3 linked regions of the Callithrix jacchus genome follow. The protein of the gene in region 2 purifies or fractionates together with the protein of the main gene of each other region. This does not show direct contact. Links are inferred from orthologs where the notes say so. Each region holds a gene or a part of one and is shown on either strand. Other genes may lie near its edges. The genes, in order: PARK7, ENO1 and TPI1.

Region 1 (4,188 bases), about 890 kb from region 2:
TTAAACCTCATGGTATTTTTGTAAGACAGAAATGCAAGTCAAAATATTGAAATACTACTTTATCTTTCAAAAAATTTTAATGAGCTGGCACTGGGAAAGTGGGAATTTTCCTACACTGCTGGTGGGACTCCAAACTGGGACACTGGAGAGCAACTTGGCAAAACCTAATCATGCTGACTAGGGGCCATCCTTCGACCTAGTAATTCTACTTTTAGATATATAACGTGGAAAAACTTCCACACATTTGCGCAAGAAAACCTACACAAGAACAATTATTACAGAACTGTAATGCTGTAATTAGAGGAATGGGTAGATTGTGGCATTGAGTGCAACACCAAGCAGCAATTTTAAATGAATAAACTGAATTGACATGTATCTTCATTTGTGAGAACCAGAGGAGTATAGGGTTAACAGACTCTAGGGCCAAACTGCCTGGGTCTGAGTTCTCGCTTTTGTACTTACTATGTGACGTGGGTATTTTAGTGTCTCTGTGCCTCAGTTTCTTCAATCATAAAATGAGGATGGCAATATCTAACTCACAGGCAATACCTAACTCATGTTGTAAGGTTTATAAGCACTTAGAATGATGCCTGGCACAGAGTGAGTTCTACTTCAGTGTTCACTATTGTTAGATATAGAGAGATAATATATAAACACTCAGAATGAGAACCATAGTCAACTGCTACCTTAAAGACATGCATGGATGGATACACAATAGTGCGAGGAGAGCAGTTATCTTTAAGGAAGGAGGAAGGGGCACAGGATTGGAGAAATTTACAAAGAAGGCTTCAAATATATTTATTTGAAGCAATTGCTCTTTAAGAAATGAGGCTGAGGGGCCGGGCATGGTGGCTCACACCTGTAATCCCAGCACTGTGAAAGGCTGAGGCGGGTGGGTCACTTGAGGCCTGGCGTTTGAGACCAACCTGGCCAACATGATGAAACCCCATCTGTACTAAAAATACAAAAATTAGCTGGGCATGGTGGTGGACACCTGTAATCTCAGCTATTCAGGCAGCAGAGGCAGGAGAATCTCTTGAATCTGGGAAGTAGAGGTTGCAATGAGTAGAGATCATGCCACTGCACTGTAGCCTGGACGACAGAATGAGACACCATCTCAAAAAAAAAAGAAAGAAAGAAAGAAACGGGTCTGAGGACAGTGGGGTGGCTCACGTATGTAATCCTAACACTTTGGGAGGCCTGAGGCAGGTGGATAACTTGAGCTCAGGAGTTGGAGAGCAGCCTGAGCAACATGGTGAAACCCTGTCTCTAGAAAACATACAAAAATTAGCCAGGTGTGGCAGCATGCACCTGTAGTCCTAGCTACTTGGGAGGCTGAGGTGGGAAGATGGTTTGAGCTGAGGAGGCAGGGGCTGAAATGAGCCAAGATCATGCCATTGCACTCCAGCCTGGACGACAGAGCTCAAAACAAAAAAGAAATGGGTCTGAAGGAAATATGTCAAGACATTAACAAGTGTTAAATGTTGGCAGTGGATCAACAGGTATTTATTCTTAAGATCTCTGAAATTTTGTGTATAGTTGTAATATTTCACAAAGCACTATGAATATTATTTTATTCGAAATGATTTAAAAATCCAAAAATATGTAACAGGATGGCTAGAAATCTGTGTGGGACTTACCCCAGCTCGCCTCATGACATCTACAGGGATGACGGTCTCCATTTCCTCCGCTCCTTTAGCCAGGATGACCAGAGCTCTTTTGGAAGCCATTTTTATGTTTTAAAGGCTTAAAAAAAAAAGTTTCAAAAAACTTTCAAGGCAACCCTGGAATACCACAACATTTAAAGTTTAGGAACGTTTTCAAGCAGAATTAAGTACTTCCTAGGGAAATGGTTCTGACAGACAACTGAATATAAAAGCAGCAGTTTAGGTTAAGGTTGATTTGCATAGAAGCTTTCATTGTTTTGAGAAGAAAACACAGTGAGGGCGTTCCGAGGTGTAGTGTTGCTTAGAGTTTTCTACCATGTTCTCTTAAATCCAACTTTAATAATATATTGCAAATGGGCTTTTCTAAAATACAAGTACGTGGGTCTCACATTTCACACAATGCGGGCGGACAGTCTTCTCTGAAGTATCAGTTCAGAGAAAAGATTAAACTGAATTTCATGGGCAAAAATTTAAATATGGTCTTTTGCAATTAACCTGTAATTTTTTGGAGGGGATTTTTGTTTTTAGTTCCAATAACCGTACTAAAAAATTGTGTGTGGGGGGGTCAACGGTGTTAAATGTCTGAACACACTTTTTTTATGACTGAGAAAGATGGAAATCCGCCTCACTGATGTTAACCCAACTTCATTCTGCCTCTCCGTGCACAAAGTTCTCACTGCAAACGACAGCAGCTCAACGAGGTTCTCAATTTTTTTTTTTTAGCCTATTTAAGGTTATCTGGAGATTTACCGTCCACGCAAAACAAAACGAGTTTCATAAAAACGGTTTCAACAAGCAGGATTAGCCAGTTCCATGCTGGGCGAGAGGTTAGGCAGAAGATTCTGGACGCTTCAGCGTTGCTACCACGCTGGCGGTCAGTCAAATCCAACGCCAGCGACAGGACCCGACTGGAAGGCCGGAGGCGAGGGCGGCCCAGACCCAGGCCCCGCGCCAGGGCTGACCCAGCGGGACACCGTCCAGCGCCCCCACGCCGCCAAGCGCCACGGCCCAGACACGCGCCGCGCCCCCGCTGGCCCTGATCTGCACCCCGCGCCTCTTCCTGCGGACGCGGCACCCCGGCCCGTCGGGAACCACTCACCCTATACCAGGCCGAAGGTGGACGCGCTCCAGCACGCACGCGCGCCGCCCGGCCTCCCTCAGCCGCACATTGCGCAGACTCGCGCGCCTTGGCGTCACACTGCGTCAGGTCCGGCCGAGCCTACCTCGGACCGAGGCGGGGGTGGTGCCGGGGAGTTTCTAGTTGAACAGGACTGAGTGAGGCGGCTGGCACCCGGATGGAACCCTCTACGAATGGCACAGTCTGGCCTGCCCGGGCGCCCGCAGTGCCTAACCGTCTCCGCGGCCACCGGGGATGAGGAGCGGGTCTCTGGAGCGGCGGAGGCACACGATGTGCCGGCAGAGGGCTTTCTTTGTTCGCGCTGCGTTTACTTCTGTTCCCTCTGCGTTGTTCCTCCTTCCTGGAGGGCCTTCCCGTTTCGCCCGTGGCCTGTTAGGACTCTTGTCCAGGCCTCTCTGGGCCTCTCCCCACGCCTGGTCTCCGGATCTCGGGCGACTCTGCGCATTTATTCACACCCGATGTCTCAGGGGTGTGTGTTTTTTTCCTTAGCATTGTTTTTTCAGCATCGTTTTTCCTTGTGCAGTGGCGCGATCTTGGCCCACTGCAACCTCCACCTCCCGGGTTCCAGAGATTCTTCCTTAGGCTCCCGAGTACCTGGGATTATAGGCGTGCGCCAATACGCCTGGATAGTTTTTGTATTTTTAGTAGAGATGGGGTTTCGTCATATTGGCCAGGCTGGTCTCGAACTCCTGATGACCTCAGGTGATCCACCGGCCTTGGCCTCCCAAAGTGCTGGGATTACAGGCGTGAGACACCGTGCCTGGCTGATACTTGCCTTTCTTTGCCTGGCTTGTTTCACTTAACATAATGACCTCCAGTTCCATCAATGTTGTTGCAAATAGGATTTTATTATTTTTTATGGCTGAATAGTAATCTATAGTGTATATTTACGTTTTCTTTATCCATTCATCCATTGATGAACACTTCTGTTGATTCCATATTTTGGCTGTTGTGAACAGTGCTACAATAAGCATGGGAGTGCAGATATCTCTTTGATGTACTGATGTCCATTCTGTTTTGGTTTGTTTTGTTTTTTAATACTCTCCATCTTGCTCTGTCACCCAGGCTGGAGTGCAGTGGCACCATCAGGGCTCACTGCAACCTCCGCCTGTGGGTTCAAACAATTCTAGTGCCTCAGCCTCCCGAGTAGCTGAGACTACAGGCGTGTGTCACCACACCTGGCTAATTTTTGTATTTTTAGTAGAGACAGGGTTTTACCATGTTGGTTAGCCTGCCTTGAACTCCTCACCTCAAGGGATCTGCCTTCCTCAGCCTCCCAAAGTGCTGGGATTGTAGGCATGAGCTATTGCTCCCAGCCATTCCTTTCTTTTTGATATATACCCAGTAGTGGGAGTGCTGGAACATACGGTAGTTCTGTTTTTC
Region 2 (3,545 bases):
TCTGACGCAGTGAGCATCAGCTACAAATGGCAGCTACCGAGTACATGAAACCTGACGCTTGAGAAACCAAGGAATGCAATTCATTAATTTAAATGGGGTCCCGAGGTCTTCTGGATGCCCTTCTACCTTCCTGCCCAGAGTTCCCTTTTAATCCTTCTTTACTTGCTTTCCCCAGGAAGAGACCCACATCCTAGCGCTTCCCAAGATGGTCACATTTACCATGGAGTCCTTCTGGCCTGAACAGTATGGTTATGTAACCCAGTAGCTACCATCTTTAAGATGATCAACACATAGGCCTGCATTTGAATTTTCTTCCAAATGAGTTGTCTGAACAGTCTCGCTCTGCCTCCGAGCTTAGACTCCCTGTTGTGACCCCACTACCTTGGAGGGGGACAGCGCATGTCTCCTCTCTTGCATTTGCCTGAAGTTCTCTTCCCAAGGACACAGGAAAATGTTCTCTGCACAGAGTTTTCAAAGGCTGACTCCCTATTGGCAGGCCCCCTGAACACTAAGGACAAGACCCAGACTGTCCCAAATACACATGCCACACAAAAAAGGGTATTCTCATGGTTCACTGATGCCTTTTATTTTGAGCACAAAACCACTGGTGATCTTGCCTGTGGCCACCCCGGATATGACCCTGGAGGTTCATATTGCTCCAGACACTTGGTGGAAAGTGAGGCGAGAAAAACAACGATTTGGGCCAATTACATGACTGCAAAGCTAGGGCTGCCAAGTGGGCTCCAGGGAGCTTGGCTTCTGTAGAAGTTCTAAGCAAGCAGTGCGAACTCCATGGTGGTGGGCGAGGGGAGCTAACTAGCAGGGACCCCTGCAAGTGTTGGTCGGGGGGCCTGGAGCTGCCCGAGCTGACAAGAGGGGAGGAGTCTAATTAGCCAACAGGCGACTGAAGGGCTGGCCTGCCCACTGCTTACTTGGCCAGGGGGTTTCTGAAGTTCCTGCCAGCAAACTTGGCCTTGCTGCCCAGCTCCTCTTCAATTCTTGGAAGAGATGGGGAGGATAAAAGAAAAGTTAGTCTTCAAGTTGTAAGTTTTCCCACCCCAGATGTCAAAGACACAGCCCCACTCCTCCTGGAGTTCCTGGGAAGTTGAGAACCTGGAACTCTCCAGTTTGTCCACCTTCTTAAACCCTCTACACTGTGCTGCTCTGAGACTCCAGAAGTAGAGAAAATGTGTGTGCTGCTTGAATCTTGATGTTAGACCCTGTCTCAAACAAACAAAACAACAAAAAAGCCCATGTCTACTGTTCACCTGCTTTTCTGTGAATGTCTGAAAATTCCCAGGATTCAGTTTTAATGAAGGGGTAATAAGGGAGTACTCAGGAATGGGTGTTCCGTTTCCCTACAAGTCCAGGAAATAATAACTAAAAAAGGGGGCAAGTCTCCCAGTGTTCAGGGGCCTTCCAAGGACACAGATAGGAAAGGGAGATCAGCACTGCCCGCGCAGCGCTGATGAGTGAACCCAGCCATGTGTCCTTTGGCTTTTTCTTCCTCCCTCCAAGCCGTGGCTCCACATCCACAAAACAGGGGTTAAGTGGCTGAAACAGATCATATGAAGGCACTCTGAAAGCTGTAAGGTCATGGCTGAACTGTTGAAGGTGGTCCCATCCTCCCTCACCAGAAGAGGGCAGCACTGTGCGGAACAGGCTCCTGCCTCTGATGGCACTGGGTGGGTGCGGGGTCTATGCCTAACTCTGCCTGAACCTAAGCCTGATCTGGGCCTGGCTGTCTGCACTGTGCGTCTGCACCCATACACATTCCCAGAGCCAGAAGCCCCTGGGGAAGGGCAGTGCCTACTCTGAGTGCAGGTCCCTGTTCTCAGCAGCCCCCCTTACCTGAGGAGCTGGTTGTACTTGGCCAAGCGCTCAGATCGGCAAGGGGCACCAGTCTTGATCTAGGAGAAAAGAAAGGCCATTCGCTTATAGGGGACAGACAGGCTTTACGGGCATTTCTGGCAGGGAGAGGGTATAATGTCAGAGATAATTTCTAAACCTGACCCTAGGAAAGAGGGTCCATATCACACCGGAAGGACGCTCATGGCCCTGTTCTGTTCAGGCTCCGAAACCAGGGCAGTGACTCAGGGGAAATGAGCGAAAACAGGACAGACAAGGAGCAGCACTGGTTTTGGGTATTCCTAGGAAGTTGAGGTTGGAGAGAAGAAAGGAGACGCTCATTCTCACCTGCCCAGTGCACAGCCCCACCACCAGGTCGGCGATGAAGGTATCTTCAGTCTCCCCAGAACGATGAGACACCATGACGCCCCAACCATTGGCCTGGGCCAACTTGCACCTGGAAGCCAAGAGACAACCAAGATAGCATGAGTGCATTTTCTGGTGCCACAAACCCCAATGCCATTATTCCTCAGTGCCAGCAGGAGAGCAGCGGCAGGGCCAACAGTGGCTAAAACTCTCCATGCCTGGGCTTGTCAAGAGCAGAGGACAACTCTCACCCTCCTCTGAACTCTTCCACCTCCAGGACCTTCTCAGCCTGCTTGTCATAGTTCAAACACTGGGTTCAGCCTCCCTTGATGGGAGAAAGACTAGTGATCCCTGACAGAGCCCCTCACAGATACAACCGCTCAACCACCATCTCCATGTAAAATGAAGGCATGTGTCAAGAGCCACAAGGAATCAGGAATAGGCCATCAGTGCAACACCCTAGGCTGCTTAACTCATTAATTTAAAAAACAGACACTCTCACTATGTTGCCCAGTGTGGTGTCAAACTCCTGGGCATAAGCAATCCACCTGCCTCAGCCTTCCAAAGTGCTGGGACTATAGGCTTGAGCCACTGCGCCCGGCATATTTACTTTAGAGCCAGCGTCTTGCTCTGCCACCCAGGATGGAGTACAGTGGCATGATCTCAGCTCACTGTAACCTCTGTTTCCTGGGTTCAAGTGATTCTCCTGCCTCAGCCTCCCAAGTAGCTGGGACTAAAGGTGTGTGCCACTGTGCCTAGCTAATATTTGTATTTTTAGTAGAGATGGGGCTTTCACCATGTTGGCCAGGTTGGTCTTGAACTCCTGACCTCCTAATCCACCCGTCTTGGCCTCCCAAAGTGCTGGGATTACAGGTGTGAGCCACTGCGCCCGGCTGTGGCTTATTTTTTTTCAATTGGTTTGTAGAGATGGGATCATGCTATGTTGCCCAGGCTGGTCTTGAACTCCTGAGCTCCTCCTGCCTTGGCCTCCACCCCAACTTTTCAATTAAAAAGGCTCCTGAGTTCAAACACGAAACCTGTTGAAATTCCGGGGTGCCCTACATATTGGCCAACAGGATTCCCCATCACTGCAACAAAAGGGCCCTTTTTCTGATTCACAAGCTACAGCTGTGGGCAAGCTGCTGGCCGGGAAGACACTCACGCCTGCAGGGACTCGGTCACGGAGCCGATCTGGTTCACTTTGAGCAGCAGGCAGTTGCAGGACTTCTCATTTGCAGCCTTGGCAATCCTTTTCGGGTTGGTCACTGTGAGATCATCCCCCACCACCTGGATTCCTGCACTGGCTGTGAACTTCTGCCATGCTCCCCAGT
Region 3 (4,010 bases), on a different chromosome or scaffold from region 2:
GGTCACAGAGCCTGGGAAGGGAGCAGAACAAGGGCTTGGTCAAGGATGGGATGAGTAGCCCTACCCCACCTCCATGTCCCAGGGCTCAGTCTTGCCCTCAGCCCACTCCACCTCAGCCGCGAAGCAAAGCCACTCACCTCCATAAATGATACGGGTGCTCTGAGCCACTGCATCAGAGACATTGGACTTAAGCCACCCTCGGAGCTTCTCGTGTACTTCCTGGGCCTAGAACAAGAAGCTAGCCTTATCTTTTCTGCCTCTCTAAAAGGGAAAATCAGTGGCACCAGTGGACACTTAGTATGGTTTCTGAGTCTGAGTCTGAGTACCAAGGCTCAGATCCAAGCCAGGCCATGGAATGGATGCCCTTGGACAAGTCACTGTCTCTGGGCTCAAGGTTTCCCTGTCTTTAAAATAAGGGGTTGGCCTAGGTGGTCGGTCTGTCCAAACCTGTGGCAGGCTGGGATGAGAGCAGGGCTCCTGGGCTCAGTTACCTACCTGTTGGGGTGTTGCAGTCTTGCCCGTGCCAATGGCCCACACAGGCTCATAGGCCAGGACGACCTTGCTCCAGTCCTTCACATTATCTGCAGGGCAGAGATCACAGTTGGAGGGAAGGGTGGACAGGAAGGAGCTGTCCAGACAGATTCCCCAGAGTATAAAGAATGGTGGCCTACTGCCCCCTAGTGGTCATTGGGGGATTTCCAGGTGGCATCTACCTTGGGGGCTGGAGAAGTGATAGGTACCAAGCAAGGATGCTCACTCCCCCTCCCCCTTTTCCTTTTCTGGATCAGCATGGGGACCAAGACATGCTCCAGGGCCTGACCCTACCCTCTGAGTCTCTGTGGCCCTGGCTAGGTTCAAAGGTCCCTTTCTCCAGAGATACCTGCGATGACCTTTGTCTGCTCGAAAACAACCTTCTCAGTGATGCCAGCTTCCCTTTCATCTAGCTTCTCCCCAATGCAGGCGATTACTCCGAGTCCCTCTGCCAGAGCATGGGCCACTTTCTGCCCAATCAGCTGTTGAAAAACAGACTTGGTGAGACATCCTTCTTGGAAAAATACATCCCTTATCTCCTCTCTTGGCTACTAACCTCATCTGACTCCCCGAAGACATGCCTTCTCTCTGAGTGCCCCAGGACCACCCATGTGGCTCCGCAGTCTTTGATCATGCCAGGGCTAAAGAAGAGAGGAAGCCAAGGCTCAGCAGGGAGCCCACCAGTGGCTTTCCCTTCACACCCTCTCCACCTCCATCTCACCTGATCTCCCCAGTAAAGGCCCCGTTAGACACTTTGTAGCAGTTCTGCGCAGCCACAGCAATCTTGGGATCTAGCTTCTGCCGGGCGAAGTCGATATAGGCAGTGGGGGGAGCACAAACCACCTCTGAGGACAAGAGAGTCCCACAGTGGGATGAGACTAAAGAAAGCCTTCATTCGCCACAACTCCTGACCAGTGCCCTCAGCCTCTTCTTGGTTCTACTCTCCCCTGCTTTTCACCCCAGCAAGATGACCTCTGCCCACTTCCCAGTCAGGCTGGGCCTGCGCTCAACTGGCAGAGCCTTCCAAGTACCCCTGAGAGGCCACGGCCCTTACCCTGCCCTCTGCTCTTTTAACAGCTGTGGCTCCAATTTCCTCGAGCTATTCTGGGCATAGGAACCTCCCAGACTCAGCATTCTCTAGGGGCCAACCCTGCCCCCTTCTAAAATAGCCCATCCTCACCTCCCCTTTACAAGGCAAGGATTTGTAGCAAAAGGAGAAGGGGCCAACTCCTGGGGACTGTATGGGGGCCTCTGGGGCCTTTGGGGAATGAACGAGAAGGGGATGCCTCTTTGGATTAGGCCCGAGGTTCTCTGATTTCGGTTGGGGGTAAGAGGGAAGATGGAGGAGAGCATCCTTTGCCCGTGGGTGGGGCAGAGCTAACTGACTCAGAGGCCTGGAGCGTTCTCGTTTCCAGGTTGGGGAAAGCGGTAGGATGGCTCCTCACTCCCAGATCGCTCAGCCTGTTTGGCACCAGCTCGGTTCCTTCCGTGGAAGGCAGGAGTCGCTCAGGCTGCTGAATGGAAGGGGTCAGAGCTGGGGGCTCATGGGCCCCGAGCAGCTAGACACTGGGACTCCGCCGCAGGCGAGGCGGGGGAGGAGTCTGGGGCTACGTGCGGCGGCGCACGGCGCCGGAGGCCGTGGGGCAGGTAGCGGGAAGCCCACGCAGCCCAGCCTCCTCCCCGACCCCGGCGGCTGCGGTCAGCCTCTCCCGGTCGCCCGCAAAGCCTCGGGCTCCGCTCCTAATCCCGGCGCCTATCGGGCACAGCCCCAGTGCGCGCCCTGGGGCCACCTTCCTCCCAGAGACCCAAAACGCCTTTTCCTCCCCCACAGTCCAAAGGGGCATCACGTGCTCCGCCCTACCCCCTCGACGCACCGACAGGGCTGCGGCTGCGGGGCCCCTGCCGGAACCCCAGCGACCCTCGTCCCGCAGCCCTGCATCAGGTCCACGCGGACACCGGACTCAGGGTCTCGGGAGAGCGCGCTGCCACTCCAGCCCAGGCCCCGGCCCGGCCCCTCCCCAGCGGGGGCTTACCGGTGTCTCCCGGCACCTTGGCCGCGTTCAGAGTGCCGATGAGCTCCCCCAGATTCTGCTTCCTCCCGTTCATCTTCCAGTTCCCACCGACGAAGAACTTCCTGGAGGGAGCCATGGCGCTGGAACCGAGGCACTGAAGGTCAGTGTCAGCGCGCAGCCGCGGCCACTGCCCGCTTATATAGAGCGCCGCGAAGTGGAACTCCGCCTCCTCGCCGTCCTCCGCCATGGCCCGCCCGGTCCCCCGGAGCCCTGCCCCTCGCCCGCCCTCCTGCCGCCACCCGGCCGCCGCCCGGCGTGGCACTGTTCTGACGTTCCCCCTTCTTGTTGGCAACGTTCTAGGGGCGTCGGGGTCTCGGTCGCCTCTGCCACGATTGCGGGGCTTTTGGGACATGGCGACACCTGTGAGCTCTCGCTTGGCGACTTGAGTCCCCCACGGGGCCAGAAGTGGTTCGACGGAGGTAGCTCGTGGCAACCTGGCCCGTGGCCCAAATCGCTCACTGGGGCAGAGAGGGCCCCTCTCCATCAGTGGGATAGAGAACCCCCTTCCCCCGTCGGAGCAGCTGAAGCCCGACTGCTGAGTAAGCACCTTGTACCCAGGGAGTCTACCTGAGTCGATTTGCAGGGCAAATGCAGGGTTCCGAGCGGGAGGGGCAGTCCAGAGAGGTATAGGCCGCCAGGAGTATCCCAACCCTCGCCCCGGCTGGCCAAGGCCTGGCAGGAACTGCAGGGACTGAGACCCAGACTGAAGCCGGCTAGCCCCTAGGGACATTTGGGAAATACTGGGGCTCCTGTGTGACTAGAGGCAAGGGCTCTTCATCCCATCTTTCTTCAGCTTTGTGCCAGCATTTAGTCACTCGACTCCACTTCCCCACCCAACCCCGATTTCCCAAGAACTCTAGAACGACTGGAGTGGAGACCTGCCTATGGGGAAGAGGCGGCAGAGCTAGGGGGGTTTTCTGAAATGCCCCTCTGCTAACCGGCCCTCTTGCTAACCTCGAGAAGGTAAGCCTCTCCCAAGGTATCAAACAGGACACAATTTTAGCTGTTGTAGTTTTATTCACATCATGTATTTTGGCATTTTCCAGAGAAGGACAAGGAAGAAACAGGGTGGGGGAAAGACTGAGTAAGGAGGGCAAGGGGTGGGGGTCCCCATTTCCCTCATATCCCTCTTTGACCAACCACACAGGGGCAAACAGGTGGGGGAGGCACAGGTGCTCCCTCCCCTGGGAGAGGATGCACAAAGCTACACCCACGCGCACAAACGAGACCCCTCCCTCCACACCAGGGTGCTGGGCAGGGCGACACAGAGAAGCAGAGCACTGTGGATTCCAGGGGCAGGGGAAGCAACAAAGTCTCCCTACAGACAGGTGGCCAGCCCCTCCGGTCCCCTTCCTGCTCCATCCCCAGAGTCTATCGCTGCCCCTCCACTCTGTCCGGCCATTCTCC

Evidence for each region.
Region 1: the proteins of ENO1 (region 2) and PARK7 fractionate together in Homo sapiens (co-fractionation; 3 studies listed by BioGRID). This does not show direct contact. The link is inferred for Callithrix jacchus from reciprocal best matches to the Homo sapiens genes ENO1 and PARK7.
Region 3: the proteins of ENO1 (region 2) and TPI1 fractionate together in Homo sapiens (co-fractionation; 4 studies listed by BioGRID, with this or other methods). This does not show direct contact. The link is inferred for Callithrix jacchus from reciprocal best matches to the Homo sapiens genes ENO1 and TPI1.

What each region holds. Positions count from the first base shown.
Region 1 is NC_133508.1:45,840,793-45,844,980, reverse strand, and holds the start of PARK7 (Parkinson disease protein 7), read right to left. Parts: upstream 2,838-4,188; 5' UTR 2,767-2,837; exon of another isoform or gene 2,260-2,766; intron 1,785-2,259; 5' UTR 1,731-1,784; coding exon 1,641-1,730; intron 1-1,640. UniProt on the Homo sapiens protein: Multifunctional protein with controversial molecular function which plays an important role in cell protection against oxidative stress and cell death acting as oxidative stress sensor and redox-sensitive chaperone and protease.
Region 2 is NC_133508.1:46,727,835-46,731,379, forward strand, and holds the end of ENO1 (alpha-enolase), read right to left. Parts: coding exon 3,377-3,545; intron 2,306-3,376; coding exon 2,197-2,305; intron 1,911-2,196; coding exon 1,852-1,910; intron 999-1,851; coding exon 929-998; 3' UTR 562-928; downstream 1-561. UniProt on the Homo sapiens protein: Glycolytic enzyme the catalyzes the conversion of 2-phosphoglycerate to phosphoenolpyruvate. In addition to glycolysis, involved in various processes such as growth control, hypoxia tolerance and allergic responses.
Region 3 is NC_133510.1:21,142,124-21,146,133, reverse strand, and holds the start of TPI1 (triosephosphate isomerase), read right to left. Parts: upstream 2,808-4,010; 5' UTR 2,791-2,807; coding exon 2,565-2,790; intron 1,377-2,564; coding exon 1,253-1,376; intron 1,173-1,252; coding exon 1,088-1,172; intron 1,014-1,087; coding exon 881-1,013; intron 582-880; coding exon 496-581; intron 226-495; coding exon 138-225; intron 12-137; coding exon 1-11. UniProt on the Homo sapiens protein: Triosephosphate isomerase is an extremely efficient metabolic enzyme that catalyzes the interconversion between dihydroxyacetone phosphate (DHAP) and D-glyceraldehyde-3-phosphate (G3P) in glycolysis and gluconeogenesis.